Schizosaccharomyces pombe: one gene and its partners. The protein of the gene in region 1 interacts with the protein of each later gene in a pairwise test. Each region holds a gene or a part of one and is shown on either strand. Other genes may lie near its edges. The genes, in order: hsp16, tcb2, pek1 and tef3.

Region 1 (3,457 bases):
GTGTTGATAGAATAGTGTATATTAACGAGATTCGCCGAATTTAAGTTTTACAAAGCCATAGCAATACAAGAGCTTTCGGCTTTACTGTAGAGCTAGATATTATAGCAAACAAGAATTTGGTTTAATCACACACGAAAACCATAACATTCTTAACTTTAAACTGTATGTTGATTACTGAAAAAGAAAGGTACCCTAGGCTATATATTTATGTGTACTTTTTTTTATAGGAAACATTGGATCACCCAAGGATTAGTGGTAGTATGGAAACACTCGCTCAAGGCCAAGGAGATTTAACTACTTTTAGGTTAGCGTGTCCATGAACCAATGAACTAGTAATATAAAGAATAAAAATAGAAAGGAACACATCTATGAAGCCCTTGTCCCTAACATGAAATCACAAAACTTCCGCTTAAACAAACCTTATGGCTCACTAATAAAACCAAAAATTGTTAAGAGCATATTATCAGATCTCCGCAAAAGGAAGACGATTTCATTGCCCCGGTGATTTAAGACTCAAAGAGCATACACAACTTTATGATATGCTAATGTAACTCCTGTTAATTCATTAGGAGCTACATAATACTGTTCTTTTTTTTTGAAAAAAATAAAAATAAATCTACACATATTACGATAGAGCATTTTGAAACAACTTGTTTTCTAATTAGGAATAAAAAAATATTTATTTATTTATTTATTTTGAAAAATTGCTAGAGATCACTTGCTCATCATTGGAGAATCGTAACAAGTGGTAGTCAAGATCATTAAAACACTGTCTGACAGCTGGCCATAAATTGCTTGATGTGGAATTTAAATGCTCTTTTACTGTTTAGAAGACCGTGTTCAATTCATTATCAAAATTCATCAATCCAATGGCAAGCGGATCATTAATTGCATATGTTATGATTGATTGTTAAATCAAACAATAATATATGCTCACAATCCAACAAGATTGGTCTCATAACCATTTCGAAACTATCATATTAAAATCGGAAGAGACGATTTTACTTAATAGCAATTTGTTTCTTAGTTTGGGACTTCTCGACCTTGGGCAAGGTGACAGTCAATAGGCCATTACTGAAGTTGGCCTCAATGCGATCTGCATCAATCTTGGCTGGAATAGTAATGGTACGAGAGAATGAGCCAAAGCGACGCTCTGACCAGCGTTGGTTACCCTCGGTGCTTTCATTCTTTCTCTCATTGACGACTTCGCCAGAAATAGTAAGTTTTCCGCTATCATAATGGACTTGAACGTCCTCTTTCTTAACACCAGGGAGTTCTACATCAACGCTAACAGTGTCTTTACCCTCATGCACATCAATCGAAGGAGACAACTCCCCAGGAATTTGGTTGTTCAAACGAGGGGAGTAACTAACAAAGTCAGAGAACAAGTCGTTGACAGTAGGGGGAAAGCCGAAAAAAGGTTGCAAAGACATTTTTTAAAATTTAAACAATTGCGAGTAACTTGAAATTATATGAATTCAATTCAAATCTGTATTTGTTCGATGCTGGACTAGCGGAAGGAGTACCCTTATTTATACCTTTCTGGGAAGCACGGAATGGGATGGATGTCATATATTGTACGATGACTCGAATTTTCTCGTAAACGTTGTGAAAGATCACGAATTTGCCGGAGTTTGTACTTTCGGAACGGCGTCTTTTGCTAACACTCAAACTCTGTATTGGGTGGACTTAGATGTTCGTTAGTGCTTGCTCTAGAAAAGTCCAAATTTGCCACTTATGCGCCACAACCGAGGCAGATTCAAATATAAACTTCGGTACGCAAGGCTGTGCTATCTTTCTAGAGAGATCTAGAAAATAATCATTCTAGTAGAGTTAGAAAAATACTCATTTCATTGACTGTATATCGTTTCCTTTACCTTATTTTTTTTTTTACTTTGTAGTCAACTAACCAAAATAAAATTTTTAGGACGCATTTAGATTTGTAAATAAACCATAACGTAAGAATTTTTCTTTCTAATCTTATGATTTGAGCGCTTTATTGGCAAAGACGTATTTTGTGCATTCACGCAATTGTTGCTCATGCACTTGAAAACATTTCATAAATCTATAAAACTTATGCGACTTCCTCTTGTTCGTCATAAAATTGTTCTTCTGCAATATCTACGTTAAAAGCATAGCAATATGAATAGTTAATTCCTTTACTTTACACAATTGTTGGGTTAAGTTACGCAAATTTCTGCGATTGTTAACTTTTTAAATATTCAAATAATAAATATATTTGAAGGAATCGGACGTTCTACTGTATCGTCGCACCTCATATTAGATGTTTTTTCCATCATTGCAGTAATGCTCACGGTAGAGTGTTTGATTTACGCAATAAATTTCACAAGTGACTCAATTGGAAGATCCTTAAAATTGTGGGGTACATCCCGTCGCTTACGATTTGCGGAGACGGAGAGTTTTCACAACAAAAAACCTACGTCATTATTTACCCAACATGAGTTTTCCTATTCATGCGCATATCAATGAAATCTATATTATCGTAAAGTCAATTTCGTACAGCTGTCGTTTTAATCTTTAGTTTAGAAAAAAGTAGCTAACTCTCTAGCAAGGAAAATAAATATTGAGGTTTATAACATGATTCAACCACTACATTCGAAAAGCAAATGAAAAATTTACGACGGAAGCTATCGCTCTTTTTTCAATAAACAAACCCTTTCCTGAATTGTTGACAAAGTTTATTATTAATTACTAATAAACAACTATGAGAAAAGATGGGGAAACTGCAAATTATGCCTAATGACTGCCGAATATCATGATATTACTTCCATCTTTCCATTCTGCCGTCTTCTTTTAAGTCTTTTACCTACCGAATAATACATGATCAAAATCTTACTAAAAATAATGTCGTTTAATAACTCATTACATATTACATACCGCATAATGCGAATTGCAATATCCGACGGTTAAAATATAGACATTTACGGTATACAAATGAAGTTTACCAACTCACTAGACAATGTAAAATACACGACGTACTAACTTGCTTTGCTAATTTTGATAAAATGAAGAATTTCATGAAATTTAAAAGTGGAAAACATTAACAGTAAAATATGTATAGGTCCAACAAAACTATGATAACAATGATATATGAAACTCTCCGAACTCATTTGAAAAATAAGACAAAAGACAACGTCTATACTTTAGTTTTTTTTAATCAGAATCATTATCATCCAATTTCTCATACAAGCCGCTATTTACAGCTTGTTGGATAGGATTAGTAACTTGAATAGTACTATTTTTTTCCAAGCTACCAACGTCAGCCAAATATACTCGAGACATATATATGTATTTTTTTAAAAAAAAATAAATAAACAAACAAACTTACCGTTGAAACAAATAGAATAATCTTTCTGCTTCTCGCTCTTTCTCTTCTTGGCTTAACTCAAGTCTTTGAGATTTATTTCTATTTGTGCACATACTCCCAGTAATAGGA
Region 2 (7,204 bases), on another chromosome or scaffold:
CATTATGACTCCTACTTATAAGACGAATACTCCCAATCTGGATGAGAAAAGGAGAGAGTTTTATGGAAAAAGAGTAATTGGTGTACGAATGTGTTGGGATTTCCCACCTGTTGAGTATGAAGACAAGGATGAGATATGGTCGCCTGTGATAAATAGAACGGATAAGGACTGGTTGGGTTATGTTTGGCCTCCCAATTGGTAAATCATAAGGACGTTTATGATAAAAATACTTCATAGGCTTTACAAAACATGGACAATTCGATTAAATTGAAGTATCTATACATTGAAGTTGACATCACAGACTAGACAGCAGAGCTTTCAACAGAAAATGTTGAGCCTTTTTTTTTACAATACTCTAATTGTTTAAGGGTAATTTACTTCTTTATTTTGGATAGGTTTTTATGTCACTGAAAATGTTTGATAGCCCCAAGTCTTTGGAAACAGTCAGTAGGATGTTCAAGAAAACGGAGGTTCCGACTTTACAGATTTTAATACGTGAAATTAATTTTTTTTGTTTAATTTCTCTTTTCTCTGGCAAAATTGTAAGCACAAGATAAGGGACTATTCAGTTGGACTCTCAGCTCATTTGTTTACATTCAGAAGATATATAACGCATCAGTGTCGCTGTTTTATGTCTCGCAAATATCAAGTTAAGATAGCACGTCCAACCACGCTACATATTAAACGATGTATTGCAAATGCATTATACTGAAAGAAATAATAGGAAACGAAAACAGTAGTCCGATCATCCATTGATTATGAAAAAACAGCTTATTTAAAATGCATTGTACTTTATTAGTTAAAGACTAAGGAACATGAATTTTTGGCAGTTTAATAACTAGTAGTATATCCATCATATCGATTACGCGGTAGCTAATGAAATTTTTTTTAGATTCTTTAATTATAGGAAAATATAACAGGTACATTTTTTCCTATCCTATTACGAGCATAGAACAAAAGAAGAAGATAATGTTTTTAAACGTTTTATTTACATTTCTACAATTGAGTTTCGGTAGTTTTCAAGCATGTGCAAATAACGAGCTGCATAATTATGCTTTTGCAAGGTACGATACAATATACCTGAAAGTTGTTTGTTTACATAGCAGTGTTTCCTTTTTACCTTTACTTTCCACCAAGACCTATGAATAGAAAATTGTTAAGTTTTGGTTCATATAGAAGATCCGTAAAATGTTTGAAATAATTTAATTATAAAATACTTTATTCTTGTGCTGAAAACATGAAGAAAGGAAGGCTAGTACGCGACTCAAGCCTGTTTTCTCATTGTTTTGTTATTGGAGGATTAATTTGTTTTCCTTAAGAAAAGTTGTTTATCAAATTTCTCTTTTCTTTAAAAGATTGACGAATTATTCCAATCAATTGTTTGTTAAGCGGGTTGCATATTCCTCAAGTTGCTAAAAGCTTTACGTCTTTGGAATGTTTGTTGTACAGTTTTCCTCTAAAGAAATGTCTTTTCCCGCTCATTAGGATAAAATTCTGCATCAATGATTTTGTTTGGTTGTTTTATTTACTACCTTGCATCTATGTGCTTATAAACATCTAAAATTTGAAATTTGAAATGTTTCAAATTTACATTTTTAAAGCTTGATAAAATGCCCACAAGATAATACAAAAATACGATTTTATGAAGGAAAACATGGAAGAAATTCATCATGAATAGAGTTCTTTTAACAATCGCGGAAAAAAATTACTTGTCTTAAATTTTTAACGAAATAGTTGAGTTGATGACATTTCCTTTTCTTCACTGCGTCTTATTTTGACATTTCTTTTACGACTTTTGCTTTCTTCAATTGTTTCCAGTTTCCTTTGCTTCTTTTACTTTCGTGATTAACGCTCTACTATGAACCACGGTGCCCACCGCTATAATAAATGCTGGGGGAGATGAGCTTACCTTGTTTATTACTACGGATGCTGTCCACTACACAATCGTTTCTTACGTCAAATACAATCTTATAGGCGAAATACACGATGGTGATGACTTTCTTACGCAATAAGATATATGGTTACGTTTGCATAAGTGCAAGGGTGAATTGAGAAATTCAGGTGTTTTTATGCCTACGCTGTTCGCATATCTAAATTTGTGTTTCTTTCATCGACAAACGAAGTCCAAATCGACTTTTAAAATATTTGACTTGCTTGTCCTGTAACTGTGAAAACGACTATATTATATATTGGTTTATAAACAGACAGACATCGTCAATACCCCGTTTCCAATTTTACTTGTTTATCGTTCATATTCTTTGAAAAACGTAACATCCATCGTCTTATCCCCGATACATCCTCTGTTTATTTATTTATTTCAATTTAATATTGCCTATCTCCTTCGTGAAAAACTCGCCGATTCATTTTTACAGTCAGTGTTTTGTTACTGCTGATAGAGCTTGATACATTTCTTGAGAAGGTGCTTTTAAAAAGAGAAAGAAAAGAACAAAAAAAAATCTGGGCTTTATAGGAAGACGTTAATAAGAAAAGTCCTTATATACACAAAAACCAAAACCTCCGTTAAAACCGAAATCAAAAGCAAAATTCAAAGAAATAAATTATTTTCTTCTTTAAATCAATTTTGCATTGGTGTTTGCCTTATTGTTGCTTCGTATATAAATTGCCAAAAAAATTAGTTCTTTGAAAGTTGAACCCTTCTTTGTTTTTATATAGTCTATTTGTGTACTAACCATCCGTTTCTTTTTTTTTTTGAAATTTCCTATACTTTTTCGCTCCCAATATGTCTACTCATAGCGGAGATTCCACCAAGCAACAACACTATCGCTCTTCTGACCCCTATTCAGGACGTCGTCCGATCCCCACTATTCCAAAATTCTTTCGCGATCGCAAACAGCGTGCAGAGAAAAAGGAAGAGCAACAACGGGAACAGACTGAAAACGAAAAATTATTCGACCCAATTACCCAGCGAGATGTAGAGATTAACGACGTTCATTTCGATTATGCCAAAACATATGATGATCCTAGTTTTACAGTTCCTAATCAATCAATCCAAGGTTCATCCTTACCTTCTGAAAAGCCTTATTTGTCATCCAACCAACCAACAAATGTTTATAAGCAGCATCAAGATGATTTAGCTCCACCAGAAGCGGATAATCAAATCACTCGTGATGTCCCTATTAGCGATGAAAAAACGAATATTCTCTTTTTCCCCTCCCCTTCCATTGATCTATCTTATGTATCGAAAGAGGTCAAACAAAAAACTGGTCAATATTCTTTGTTTGCATATATATTTTCTCTCGTAATTTCGTGGTTCTTTACTCATTCTATTATCATTTCAGCCGTGTTGCCTCTGGCCATTTCTTCATGTATGTATTTATGGATGCAAAATATATATGCTGTTGCCAAGGATGCGGAATGGGGCGCTGAACAAAAACGCGGAGAATACGCTCGTTTGAATTTGATTCCCGAAAGCGCCGAGTGGATGAATCATTTATTGGAAAAAGTTTGGCCCTTAATCAATCCTGAAATGTTTTCTTCTGTAGCTGACCAAATTGAAGATGTAATGCAAGCCTCTATACCGTCGTTTGTTGAAAATGTGCGCGTTGCTTCTTTGGACCAAGGAAGTCATCCCGTTCGTGTTGTTTCCATTCGAAGTTTGCCTTCAGGTGAGGCCAGTGAATCGTTTAGTGAGAAGCAAGCCTCTGAAGCTGAACACAAAGACGAGCCAGAACAGCAGCGAAAACAATTTTATAACTTCGAACTTTGTCTAGCTTATCACGCCAAACCCGTTGAGGATGCAACATCAACCAGTGCTCGAGCTTCCAACCTGCATTTACGCATAGTTTTTTATCCAGGTATTAAAGGTACAGTGGGATTTCCCCTTCCAATATGGGTCGAGATAAAAGGATTTGTTGCTAGAATCCGCTTTCGCTGTGAACTCATGCCTGAGGTTCCTTTTTTGAAAAATGTCACCTTCTCTTTGATGGGACTTCCCGAACTGAATGTGTCCGCTGTTCCCGTAGCTGAGGGAGGTGTTAACATATTTGGACTTCCATTAATTTCAAAATTCGTTAATGACGCTATTTCCGCGGCTGCAAATGAATACGTTAGTCCCAAAAGTATGACTATTGATTTGTCCAAGACGCTTTTAGGAGATGATATAAAGAAAGAGGTCAATGCATTGGGCGTTATTTTTGTTCATATTAATCGTGCAGAAGATTTAAGTAAGCAGGATGTGAATGGTCTTTCTGATGCTTATATAACCGTCGGTTTTCATAAGTTTGGTAAACCTTTGTACTGTACACGCGTCGTAAAACAGGATCTGAATCCTATCTGGAATGAATATGCTTTTATTCCTGTGTTCCCTGATCAAGTTAAAGCCGGTGAGAAGATTTCTATTGAATTATGGGATAGTGACAGGTTTAGTCCCGATGATGTAGTAGGCCGCACGAAAATCGGTTTACACCTTCTTATTCAAGATTCTGGAAAAATGCATGAAAGATGCGACACGCTTACTGGAATTAGTGAAGATACTAGTCTACCTGGCAGGGTGTTTTACGAAATTGGGTACTTCCCTAGAGCCGAATTTAAACCTTCTTTAAAAACGAGTGGACATGATATCACTATTCCAAGGTCTATGAGAGATGATCCAGCTTTTCAAAATCCACATGGCTCATTGGATAATAAAGAAGAGGAAGCTGCTGTCACGACTGCTCCTGATGAAGAGTATCCTAGTGGCATTTTATCTTTTACCGTGCATCAAGCTGTGAATTTGCAAATGAACCATCCAACTGGTACTTTTGGAAACGTGAGTGGAAACTATAACACAAGTCCGGCTCAGAGCGTAGGAGATGTAACAGCTGAAGAAGGTTCAGAGCTACCTTCTTCCTATGTTTGTGTTGATTTAGATGACACACTCGTGTATAAAACACGAACCAAGGTATTTACATCAAACCCTATTTACAACGCTGGAAGCGAAAAATTTGTTAAGGATTGGAGAAATGCAATGTTGTGCTTCACCGTACGTGATTTCAAATTGCGTGAACATGATTCCATTCTTGGAGTCGTTAACATTCCACTCGCTACGACGTTAACAACTTCTTCCCAACTGACAAAATGGTATCCCATACAAGGTGGTATCGGATTTGGGAGTGTTCGCATTTCCATTCTTTTTAGGAGTATGAAATTGAAAATTCCCAGAAATTTGTTGGGTTGGGATATTGGTACTCTGGAATTCATGGATCGACAAATTGTTGCTGAAGGAACAGGAAGTGTATCTGATGTTTCATTCTCTTCAATTAGAGTTAACATAGCAGGCGTAAAAATTACTGCTAAAAGTAGTACTTCCAATTCTTCCAGCACTGCTGAATACCATGTTCGGAGTAGACATGCTGTAATTCCAGTTAACAATCGTTACAGATCAGCTGTTGTGTTCGAGTTCAGAAAACAACTTCAGAGGAAACATAATGTATTTGCCATGGTTTGGTTGGTTGATCTGGAAGACAATGTAGAGCAAAACATTCGGGTCCCGATTTTTACTTCGTCCAAACCAGCACATGTTTTACAAAACATGATAGATTTTGATCACCCGGATAAAGAGTCAGAATTTAAAATCATTGGATATTTGAGTACTAGGATATGTTTTCATCGAGGTTTGGACGATTCCCACGAGCAACTTGTTGACAACGACGATGAAGCAGCTATATTTGAGACATATAGATGCCTTAAGTCAATGGGTTTAAGAAGAGGTTACGTGAAAGACATGAAGAATCCGTTAGCGGATCAACGAGCAAGCCTGGATGAAAGCCGAGAGACTACCACTGCATCTTCTAAATTTGAGTCAGATGATTCTGTTGATACCGAGGACGAGGAGACGACCACGGATCGGACACCAATTGAGTGTACACAAACAGTTTCAATGGTGGATCCAAATGTCAATGGAGATATCCAGGGTAGAAACTCTCTAGGTACGATGAATAGTAATGAACGTAACCTTGAGCAAGAATTTATTTCTCTTGGTTATGCCTCAAAAAACCGACCGAAAGCACACGCTCAAGAAGGTACTAATCAACCCGGCGCTTCTGAGAACGTTGAACCTGTATTAGCAGATGATAGCGATGCTGTTACAATACATAGCAATATTTCCAGTGATGATCAAAAAAGGAAATTGGTGAATGCTGATGATCGTGAATTGGAGAAGCGATTACATCGTGGACCTTACAACTCAAAAATTGTGCGCACAGGAGAATGGGTAAAAGATGGAGCGAAGATGGGATGGAGAAATCTTCGAAGAAAATTTGCTTTGAACGGACGACAGCCAGATGTTGAAACCGAGATTTCAAAATAAACACAACTGTGCTTCTTTTTAGCAACGTAAATGAATTATTGATGGCTAACGATGGATGAAACGACTTTTTGCTACAAAAGTATGGAAGAACATTCTTGACCGTGTGTTCGAGATTTAAATACGTGTGTTTGATTATTTATGGTCTGTTCATGATAAAAGTACTAGCAACACCTAAACTGATGTAGGAAACCAAACTGATGATTACATGATATTATTTATATTTATACTGCAAAAAATTTATCGGTTGGCTTACTAAATTATTACTTCAACTTTCTTAATACACGTATTGAGTATGTAAAGTTATTGTTGACGAAAAAACCAGTCCCTGAAGTAGCTAAAGTAGGGTAGGGTTAAGGAGACCAGAAAGCACACATAAAAATTTTAGGCTTTGATTTATAACTAGAACCAACCACGCACAAAAAAGTACTATTGCAAGTATGGTCGCGTTCACACCTGAGGAGGTCCGTAATTTGATGGGCAAACCATCCAATGTCCGTAACATGTCTGTGATTGCTCACGTCGATCACGGCAAGTCTACGTTGACTGATTCTTTGGTTCAAAAGGCCGGTATTATTTCTGCTGCCAAGGCTGGTGATGCTCGTTTCATGGATACTCGTGCTGACGAACAAGAGCGTGGTGTTACCATCAAGTCTACTGCCATTTCCTTGTTTGCTGAAATGACTGACGATGATATGAAGGATATGAAGGAGCCTGCTGATGGTACTGACTTCTTGGTTAACTTGATTGACTCTCCCGGTCACGTTGACTTTTCTTCTGAGGTTACTGCCGCTCTTCGTGTCACTGACGGTGCTTTGGTCGTTGTTGATACCATTGAGGGTGTCTGTGTCCAAACCGAGACTGTGCTCCGTCAAGCTTTGGGTGAACGTATTAGACCAG
Region 3 (4,509 bases), 1.7 Mb from region 1:
TTTTCCGTAGATAAAGTATTCTTCGCTTTCTTTTTGCGTCCAGAATTTTTTAATTTATTAGAAATACCATTGGCCATCAGCCTTTTCTCGTTTCGCTTCTGTCTCCTTTCACCAAATCCCCTATCGATCATCTCAAGAGAAGCCTGGCGTTTAGCGTCCGTAACTTCCTTGATGTATTCAAGCATCTTATTCTCTGACACGTGTTCATATTCAGAAAGCTTAGTTCCTACTCGATCCTCAATAGCATGGACTAAATCAACATCTCTCTCCGTTACAATGGAAATGGACTCGCCACTGCGTCCAGCACGAGCTGTACGACCTACTCGGTGAATATAGTCGTCTGGGTCACGAGGAAGGTCGAAGTTAATTACTAGTTGCACAGAAGGAATATCCAAACCTCTGCTTGCAACGTCAGTGGCTACCAAAATTTTTGCAGCTTCCGCACGAAACCGTCCAAGTGAATTGATCCTTTCACGTTGTACCATTTCTGAATGAAGTTCGGTGACACGAAGCTCGAGCAATCGAAGAATAGAATATATCAATTCAGCAGTGCGAGTCCGATTTACAAAGATAATTGCAGACTTTTTAGCGTTCTCAGGAATCGTTAACAAATGCACCAAATAAGCTTCTCGTACTTGTGAGGAAACAAATATGTAACTTTGCTGCAAAGTAGAAGGTACGGAAATGTTATCAGTTTCAACTTCGTATAACCAAAGGGGAGGCTTATTATTTTTCTGTGGCTGATATTTGAGCTGACGAATAGCATCAGTAACAGTTGCAGTAAACAAAAGCGTTTGACGATCTTCAGAGGCTGGAAGAACAGAAAAGCAATCATCCAAGTCATCAGCAAAGGTAGGAGACAACAAACGGTCGGCTTCGTCCATTACCAAAAATTTTATTCGACGTAGTCCGGCTATCGTTTCTTCACCATTACTTCTAATCAAGTCAGCTAGGCGACCAGGAGTAGCTACAACAACATGGGGCCGTTTCGATAAATCAATAGATTGTCGTATCATATCCATGCCTCCAACGATGAGCGCATGCTTTAAATTAAGATTAGCACCTAAAGCAGCAAATTGTTCATCAATCTGTATTGCAAGTTCTCTGTTCGAGTTAGCTAATTGTAGTAGAATAGTTAACATTTATACTAATTTAAATTTTAAGAAAAAGTACAATAATGTTATATTTTATACCTGGTTGGTGTCAAAATAAGAGCAAATATTCCTGATGGATCCTTAGACCATTTTTCAATAATAGGCAAAGCAAAAGCAGCAGTTTTACCAGAACCTGTTTTAGCACCTCCAATACAATTACGTCCTATAAATTTTTATTTGTTAGGCACATTTTACACTTAATTTTACTTTATTAATTTTTGTAAGCATACCTTCTAAAATCTGAGCAATTACTCCTTCCTGAATATCTGTAGGTTCATATATTGCAAGTGCTTTTAGCGTATCGATAAGCCATGGCGATATTCCTAAATCAGAGAATGATTTTCTTGTATGTTCTGACATGTTTTCTCCCCGATGTAAGGGTTTTATTTAAATTAAATATAATGGTTACTGTACTGTCAAACCAAACTATTGGGATTCAACTTGTTGCCCTTACTGCAAAATTAACACGCTACGCTACATTACGCTGCTTTAGACATTATTGCTGATGCGACATTTTTCAATGACTTTTAGGTCAACATACACAGATAAAATCTTCATATGGTTAACATAAAGTTTTTATTGTTCTCTAAAATAAGTACAGATAGAACTCAAACTAATTTCTTCAGTTTGCTTGTAAGTTATTTAGTGCTTTTTCGGTAAACCAACGTGCAAAACACAATATTTGAACTTTACGTAGTTAATCGTGTTCTTATAATAGTTAACGGATTGTATGTAGTTATTATAAGCCATAGAAAATCATGCAATGATAAATATATTCTTTTATGTTTTCCTTGAACAAAATTAATTATAATTTTAGAGGTAGACATTTATAGTAAATAAAAGAAGAAAGCTCACAGGATATGATAGTCTCATAATTACATTAACTTATACTCGTAATGAACAATTCCCGAAGTCGTTTTAACAAAGGTCTCACTAATTCTAAAATAACGTATCTACATAGCTAAGTCCATAAGTTATTTAGTGAAGTCCTAATTTAGAAATGTAGGTTATACTAATAATGGTCAATCGTATTTAGTATAGCTTCCGAAAACTATACGATTTCTTCTAATAGAGGCCTCGGTTGTTTGTTTGCGAGGAATTAACTCTTCCATCAAAGTTTCCGTTTATAGTGCTATCCTCTAATTTTCTAATTCAGGAAGCAAAAACTTCAAAAAAGTTTATAATTGGTAGGTTTATTTAGCGGGAAGACCATACGTTAGAATTTACTTTCCTTGCGTTTTTGGAAAAGAAGAATAAAAATTGAAGTTTGTTAAAAATACAAACAAACTTTTGGACTTGGTATCAGTCATCTCTTGTCACTCTTTCTACAAATTGAAAAAATATCGAAGAAAGCGCCCATGCCTCTATGTCCAAAAAACCTGTCTTGAACTTAGATACCAGTAATGGGTTCTCTGAAGAATATATAAGTCATCCTGAACGTAATGACAATCAAGGAATTGTCGAGATTACAGACCTGGTGTTTTCTAGCGAGTCGAAATTAACTCAGCGAAAGGAGAGCCGGGATAGTAAAACATTTGTTCCTTCCTTTCTGGAAGAACTTGATGATGATCACCTACATGAATTGGTTACAAATGGAGGTATTTTGTACATGAACAGTCTAGGTGAAGGTGTTAGTGGCTCTGTAAGGAAATGCAGAATTCGTGGGACTCAGATGATTTTCGCTATGAAAACTGTATTAGCTGCTCCGAATACCGCTTTACAAAAGCAACTCCTTCGAGAGTTAAAAATCAACAGAAGTTGTACCTCTCCTTACATCGTTAAATATTATGGCGCTTGCTACAATAACGCAGAGTGTCAGTTAAACATAGCTATGGAATATTGCGGAGCAGGATCTCTCGACGCGATATACAAACGCGTACGCAGTCAAGGTGGACGCACTGGAGAACGACCATTGGGCAAGATTGCATTCGGTGTCCTTAGCGGTTTAAGCTATTTACATGACAGGAAAATAATACACCGTGATATTAAGCCATCAAATATCCTTCTGACGTCAAAAGGTCAAGTGAAGTTATGCGATTTTGGTGTATCTGGAGAATTGGTTAACTCTCTCGCTGGCACATTCACTGGAACTTCGTATTACATGGCGCCTGAACGAATTTCTGGGGGATCTTATACTATATCGTCAGATATATGGTCTTTGGGTTTAACATTGATGGAGGTCGCATTAAACCGGTTTCCATTCCCTCCCGAGGGTAGCCCCCCACCAATGCCTATTGAATTGCTCTCGTATATAATAAATATGCCACCTCCCCTTTTACCTCAAGAACCCGGTATTAAATGGTCGAAATCCTTTCAACATTTTCTATGCGTGTGTCTGGATAAAGACAAAACTCGTCGTCCTGGACCCCAAAAAATGCTTACCCATCCTTGGGTTAAAGCGTTTGAGAGAATTCATGTGGACATGGAAGAGTTCCTTCGTCAAGTCTGGTCTGATTAGAAGAAATAGTGTCATATGTTAGCACTGTAAGTTGATAAATTCTGTTTGAAAATTCTTATGCTAAATTTCTTTACATTGGAGAATGCATAATCTGATTAATGGCAAAATATTATGAGTCTAACTGTCTTCCAGTTCGCTTGTTGTATGAAATAAATAGGAAAGTCATAATAATATATACTTTTTATTAATTGCTAACGGTTTTTCTAATTTTCTTTATACAAATACCTCCTTTATAGTAATTTTATGGGTTTAACATTTTTAACAGAAATAATTTTGGCTTGATTATGCATACTCAAATCGTAGCGAGAAATGATAGATTTACGCCTTGCTAGCTTTTTAACAAAAATAGGCAAAATAGGCGTTATATGGCAACTTAAAAAACGAAAGAATTCGTATATTTAATTATCCACAATTAAGGACTATTTCTTTTCGTTCTCTTATAACGTGAGGCAATGATTCGTTTTTTTTCTAGTCTACGCACGTAAGTTGGTGGTGTAACTACACCAAACTTCCCAGGGTATACATGTCCTTAACTCTTTCAATGAATTAATTGCTTTTCACTACACCGTTCTATCTTTATTTTTAAGTTTAATTTGTATACGTTGTCTGCCTAATAAAAATTATTTAAAAAAAATGACTGAAAAAACTGCTAGTCATTATTGGAATGAAGAAACCTCTATATTGAAGCTTCGTCGCAAAGATATACTTCTGTTTGAAATATATGCCACTACACTTCTTCTAGGTAGCATTTATAGCATTTATGTTGACAAATGGTCGATTACCTCTTACTTTGGAAACTCGAAAAATTTGATTAATTTGATTTTTGTAAAAAGAGGCTGGTTCTGGACTTCTTTAGTATATTTTTATCATGCTTGGGATCAAAAGAGAAACAAAATT
Region 4 (6,221 bases), on another chromosome or scaffold:
ATACAGGATTCAAGTCTAACTCCTTAACCACTCGGACATAGTGACTTCTTGAAAGCTATCTCAAATTTGTGATATATATTCACAGTTTTTGTAAAAGGTTAACTAAATCTGTTATTCGAGAATTTGAATTGTGTTATACAAATTGTAAAACTAGTTGGTAAAAGGGATTAATTATATTTTTTTAACTTATATTTATTCTTGTTTTATATCCTAAAAAAATACGCTTATGCTATTTATCTTAAATTTGCATAGTTTCATCTACTTAATATCAAAAATTTCCGCTATTCTCTTACCATATAAAAAACAGTTAAGCAATCTGTCGCAAATATTAATTAAATCTCATTTCTTTGTATTTTTTTTGTATTTTCTAAGAATAATCCGGGTTCCTCACCAAATTTCTAGTATTAGCAAAGAATACCTATGCTGCAATTTTCAATTGACAATTAATTACCAAATGTAATTAAAATTAATTTAAAAATAACGAAAAACAAAATTCAAGTAAGATATAATTAAAAAAAACATTATAAAGTATATACAAAATGGATAATTAATAAATACATTCTAAACTGTTAATTTGTCTTCCTCTGGACGACGAACGCCTTTCATCGATTCTTACCAAAGTTGAAAATTAACAGCAGCTTTTTAGAAATTACATTGATAACATACATGTAGTACACACTTATGGGTCTTCATATACACTCACTTTACATGACAAACTATATTGATAAAACAATTGTCAACTTGAACAATGATCTTTTTTGAGACTTATACTTCGCTCTCAAAAAACTCATACGTTACCACATGTTAGAGTCGTATACTGGAACAATAGCTTATTAATTTCCTAGCCTAGCTAAATCAAAAGTACAGTTACCATCTAATTAATTCAAACCATAATAACAACCTTAAGGACCGTAAGATTCCACAATTAAAAGACTCATAGCAGACACCTTACAGCTCATCGTCACTGACCTCAAGACCAGCCTTACGACGAGCCATACGCTCCTTCTTCTTCTTACGGAGCTCAGCACCAGTGAGCTTCTTGGCCTTCTTAGCCTTTTCAATTTTGTTACCGAAAGCATCAAAAGTATCGCCCTCCTCCTTCTCTTGGATACGAGGACCAGAACCTTGACCGGAAACCCAGTTGTGACCGGAAGGAGTCATGTGACCGTTGTTGACAGCCCAAACTTCCTCAGTCAAACCTTCAGTGAACTCACGGGAGTGAGTGACCAAAACGACACCACCACCAAAGTTCTTAAGACCCTTGGAAAGAGCACCAAGAGAGTCACGATCAAGATAGTTGGTAGGCTCGTCAAGAACGATGACGTGAGGACGCAACCAGGTACAAGCAGCCAAGACAAGCTTGACCTTTTGTCCACCAGAAAGACCCTTGATACGAGAGTGAGAAACCAACTCAGCATCAAGACCCAAAAGGCTGCAGTGCTCCTCAATCTCCTTACGGACCAAGGGACGGAATTGACCACTCTTCAAGGCCTCAGCACGGTCAACTTCAGCAACCATCTTAGCGTGAGTCTCCATAAGTTCACCACGAGGTAACCAAGCATTGTCGGAAGACATCATAGGAACCCAGCGCTCACTCTTCATGCCAATGTTCTCACCGACGAGGAAAGAGCACTCATACTCATAAGAGTTCTTGAGCTTACGACGGCTGTGGATACCCAAAATCTTACGTTGAGTTCCCTCAATCTTGAAGATCTTGTTCTTCATAGCCTCCTCATCAGCCTCGCTGATGACACGAGAAGCCTTATCCATAGCCTCCAAATCTTCACCAGATTGGAAACGCCATTGGATATATTCTGAGGGAGTCTTATCAGGGTGATGACCCAAGTGAGTGAAAGCGGCTTGGGCAACGTAGGCGATACGGCAGTTCTCGTGTTGGTAAATTTCACCAACAGTGGGCAACAATTCACCAGTAAGAACCTTAATCAAGGTAGATTTACCGGCACCGTTGGGACCAATAACGGCAATACGAGAAGAGAGAGAAACTTGGAAAGAAATGTCGTTCAATTGAGGCTTTGAGGTACCAGGGTATTGGAAAGACATGTGTTGGACCTTGATGATAGCACGTTGCTTGGTCTTAACACCTTCCAAGAAACCGGGTTCAGGGAATTTGAATTCCATTTCGGAGGCACCCAACTCATAGTAGGACTTGGCGGAAGGAACCTTCTTAACGAACTCGGACATGTTACCAAGATACTTACGAAGCTTGAAACGCTCGTAGTGGATAATGGCTTGAACAACGTGGTCCAAGAAACCAGAGTCGTGAGAGACAATGATGGAAGAAACATCCTTTTGGTTAACCAAAAAGTTCTCCAACCAGGCAACATTGACAACGTCAAGATGGTTGGTAGGCTCATCAAGCAAAAGAATATCGGGGTTCTTGAACATAGCACGGGTAAGAGCCAATTTCATCTTCCAACCACCAGAAAGGGAACCGATAGGCATGTTAATGAGTTCATCGGTGAAAGAGTTCTCCTTCAAAGCCTTGACAATTTCATCACGGTCCTTGATGGGGACAGCGGGATCTTGGAGAATGAAATCGACGGAAGGAGTGTCGGCTTCAGACTCGTCGATATCGTGCTCAACGTAGACGGTACGGAGATGAGTAGGGAAACCTTCAACTTGACCGTTGACAATGGCACGCATAAGGGTAGACTTACCGGAACCGTTAGGACCGCAAAGACCATAACGACGACCACGCTTAAGACGGAGACGAGTACGGTTAAGAAGAATCTTGGCACCATAAGCAAGAGAGAACTCACAGTTGCAAAGATCCTCACCCTCCTCTTCCTCCTCAGCATGAGAAGCACCACCAGGAATCTTGGCGATAGAGCGGGTACGGAGTTGCTCAACGATCTTGTGAATGTGGGCCTCGTCAATGAAGGCAGTCAAGTAAGGAGTGATGTTGAGAACCCAGGACTCATTTTCGTTATCCTTCTCTTCAACGAGTTGGGCAGCAATGTTAGCAACGTACTTAGCAATAACCTCCTCGTTGGTGGGGACCTTGATCTCACCGAGAACAGCCTTCAAAGTTTCGAGACAAACTTCAGGGTTGGCGGCGGTAGAAACCTCAGGGATCTTACCGTCAACAACGTTACCAACACGCTCTAAAGTGGTGATGGCACGTTGAACAACGGAACGACATTCAGGGTCACCAATGGTGTCCTTGATGTGGTACAAACCAGGCAAAAGCTTGGGCAAGAAAGGAGCGACGACTTGAGGATCCTCGACAAGCTTGGACATGTTGTCAATAATGACAGCAGTCTTACGCTTAATGGGAGTGGAACGCTCATTCAAACCACGGGCCAACAAGGGGACCATGATAGACAAAGTGGGGGCCTGGACTTCAGTAACGAAAGTAGTGGCACCCAAAGAGTGAATAGTCTCAGGGACCTCCTCGGGGTGAGCAATACAGTTGATAAGCTCAGGAATGAAACGGTCAATATCGGCGTTGGCAATCAAAGTACAGACCTTGGTCATGGTTTCCTTGGATTGCTTCTTAACCTCAGCCTTGGTATCCCACATGGACTCGGAAACAACAGGGATAATTTGAGGAAGGGAGTAGGATAATTGGGAAGGAGCAACCTCAACGAGAACATCCAAAAGTTGCAAAGAGTTCATCTTCTCATTCCACTTACCAGTGGTGTGGATGGACTCGAGAACAGAGGGGACGATGGCCTTGACGGCATAAGGGGTAGTGCAACGGACAATAGCCTTAGAAGCAGCAATGGCAGCATCTCTGACAGCGTTTTGCTTGTCAGCAACCTTGGCGATGACGGCGGGCAACAACTCGACCAAGTAAGGCTCGACATCAGCGGCAACACTACCATGGTTGGCAACGGCCTCAAGACCCTTCAAGACACGCTCACGAGCAGTGGCGTTCTTGTCGTTCAACTGCTTGGAAATAGCAGAGAAAACTTGAGAAGGCGCGTCTTGCTCTTCGATGGGTCCGTTGACAAAAGAAGCCAAAGCCTTGGCAGCATCAGCTTCCTCTGCGGCATCGCAGACAGTAAGGTGCTTCAACAACTCTTCAAGAGCTTTGACTGACTGCTTATTCTCACTCTTTGCAGACATCCCGGGGAAATGGTTGTTGGTAGATGAGCGGAGGTCCTGGTTGTATATGAATGGATTTTCTTAATGAAAATTTTGCAACTAAGAAAATACAGAAGGAGTACTTAAAATAAAATAATAATATGTTTTTATGTATTTAAATCTCATATTTACAATGTGACTGTTCTTTTTCTTTGGTTTTCTTCTTGGTGGTGGCCATAATCCACGGTTTCTTTGGCGGTGTTTAGTGGTTAGCGACGTGGAAAAACTATTAAGCGGCAAAATTAGAAGTCGCTAAATAAAATAACGTGTTTAGTGGCGGCGTCCTTTGTATGACGATATCATTGTAAATGTAAGGCTATATTAAAGATATCACTATAGATAAAGCATGCCATGAACAAATCGACGCGGTCCTTATGTCTCGTTAAACTAATACCACACTGCGTTGTTAAGAACGATTTTTGACGCTGTAACTCTTCTTTTCAACATATGTTGCTTGTAAGCTTTCCGTGGCTAAATGACCTCTGGCAATAATATGGTTTTGGTCGCATAACATGATGCAGTAGCACTAAATGAATTTAGCATAGGGTCGGCATAATCGCATTCAGATAGCTGCTGTCGGACATCATATTTTCAGAGTCAGAACTGTAATGATTGTATATTGGATCGTTATATACCCGCATCATTTATATAAGGTGAATATAGATATATCCTTCATTGAATTTCTATAAGTAAACTCAAATGAACTCCGTTTATGAGTTCATTCGCGAGTTAATTTAAGTGCATTCATAGTAATGTATTACATTATTACAAATATCTTAATACATATTTATAATCATTCATATTGCAATACGCGGGTCATAAAGGTCGCAACTGGGGTATAGTTATTCTGTTATACAGGTTATATTTTTACCTATCACTAATATAGCGTATAACTGATCCTCGTTCTTCATTTCAATTGTGCTTCCATTTGCATTATTCAGATAGTATAGAACTTATTATAATTTCATTAGGAACAATCGTAATATCGTATCATCTATGGTATAATTAGAATATGTAGCATATAGTGATATTCAGCGTTGTGTATCGCAGCGTATGTAATATTGCTGACACCTTAACCGATTTAGCAGAGTACGTAACTGACGAGTTTGAAGCAGTTTTTATGTATTACCATTTTTACTTAATAAAAATTATGTAGAGCGAGTGATGATGCCAAGTTTCTCTTTTATTTTGTAATAATCTATATTAGTAATATTTACATACCTGTCAACTTTTTTTTTCGCAAATTTTTTTAAACAATTTCATGGAATTAATGTTTGAAGAAAACATATCAGATCAATGATCAGCTTGAATAAAAAAAAAAATTGAAAAGAAAAGAAAGTTTTCAACTAGTTGGTTCATTCTAGTAAGTGATGATTGTAATTGATTTAAAAAAAAAAAAAATCCTTCGCTTAATAGAAAGAATGCTTTTCTTTGTTGTATTAAAAAAAATACTGAGTAGTATTAACTTAATTTACTTAGATAAATTAATTTACATATACTTATTTATTTATTATTATTTTTTTTCAGCTGCTCTACATATCTCAAGTTGATGAGTTGTAGAGGACTTTATTTTCGCATTCACTCAATTCAAGTTTCGAACACACTATGCAAATTAAAAATGTTCTCTTAATGAAAAGTATATTTGTTCGTATATTCATAGTTCAATTTACCGTTGCGATTGAAATCATCGAAATGTAGCATCATGTAACACGGTGAAAATAGAGACTGAAACAAATAATTTCAGGCTACATACCAACTATACGTAGGAAAGCAAATTTACGCTTGTTCGTGAAAACCTATGTACTCAAGCATAATCGTAGCGGACTTTAGTGTTTTTAACGTTTATTCCATCAATAATTAATATACTTAGGATTCACAGTGTGAAATGAGGTTAACATACCTTAACTTGAGGAGAGTTAATCTAATGAAAATCATAGTTACGTTTTACATATCATCAATGTATGTACTATTGTTTTGTGTATGTGCCATAGGCATGCCAAATAACATGGCTATTTATAATGTAAACGAGTGTGTGCAAATGTATAATTAATTTCATTAACTTCTTTTGAAAATATCTGCTTCTAACACAAACATTAAACCTTCTAAAATTG

What was found.
Region 2: the proteins of hsp16 (region 1) and tcb2 interact in a two-hybrid assay, tested with the Schizosaccharomyces pombe proteins (one study listed by BioGRID).
Region 3: the proteins of hsp16 (region 1) and pek1 interact in a two-hybrid assay, tested with the Schizosaccharomyces pombe proteins (2 studies listed by BioGRID).
Region 4: the proteins of hsp16 (region 1) and tef3 interact in a two-hybrid assay, tested with the Schizosaccharomyces pombe proteins (one study listed by BioGRID).

The regions. Positions count from the first base shown.
Region 1 is NC_003423.3:2,659,489-2,662,945, forward strand, and holds hsp16 (heat shock protein Hsp16), read right to left. Parts: upstream 1,505-3,457; 5' UTR 1,434-1,504; coding exon 1,002-1,433; 3' UTR 651-1,001; downstream 1-650. Other genes in the region: SPOM_SPBC3E7.17 (uncharacterized protein), read left to right, coding at 2,308-2,490; ric8 (synembryn ric8-like protein), read right to left, coding at 3,000-3,162, 3,209-3,271, 3,350-3,457.
Region 2 is NC_003421.2:530,582-537,785, forward strand, and holds tcb2 (tricalbin, C2 domain protein (phospholipid binding) ER-plasma membrane tethering protein Tcb2), read left to right. Parts: upstream 1-2,075; 5' UTR 2,076-2,740; coding exon 2,741-6,307; 3' UTR 6,308-6,621; downstream 6,622-7,204. Other genes in the region: tyrosyl-DNA phosphodiesterase Tdp1, read left to right, coding at 1-202; translation elongation factor 2 eft202, read left to right, coding at 6,745-7,204. UniProt on the Schizosaccharomyces pombe protein: Has a role in meiosis.
Region 3 is NC_003423.3:4,310,243-4,314,751, forward strand, and holds pek1 (MAP kinase kinase Pek1), read left to right. Parts: upstream 1-2,200; 5' UTR 2,201-2,520; coding exon 2,521-3,612; 3' UTR 3,613-3,898; downstream 3,899-4,509. Other genes in the region: ATP-dependent RNA helicase Dbp8, read right to left, coding at 1-1,104, 1,194-1,317, 1,385-1,514; fit1 (CoA pyrophosphatase (FIT) family lipid storage protein), read left to right, coding at 4,246-4,509. UniProt on the Schizosaccharomyces pombe protein: Involved in the mkh1 signal transduction pathway that plays a role in cell wall integrity. Activates spm1/pmk1 via phosphorylation.
Region 4 is NC_003421.2:1,683,537-1,689,757, reverse strand, and holds tef3 (translation elongation factor eEF3), read right to left. Parts: upstream 4,114-6,221; 5' UTR 4,093-4,113; coding exon 949-4,092; 3' UTR 807-948; downstream 1-806.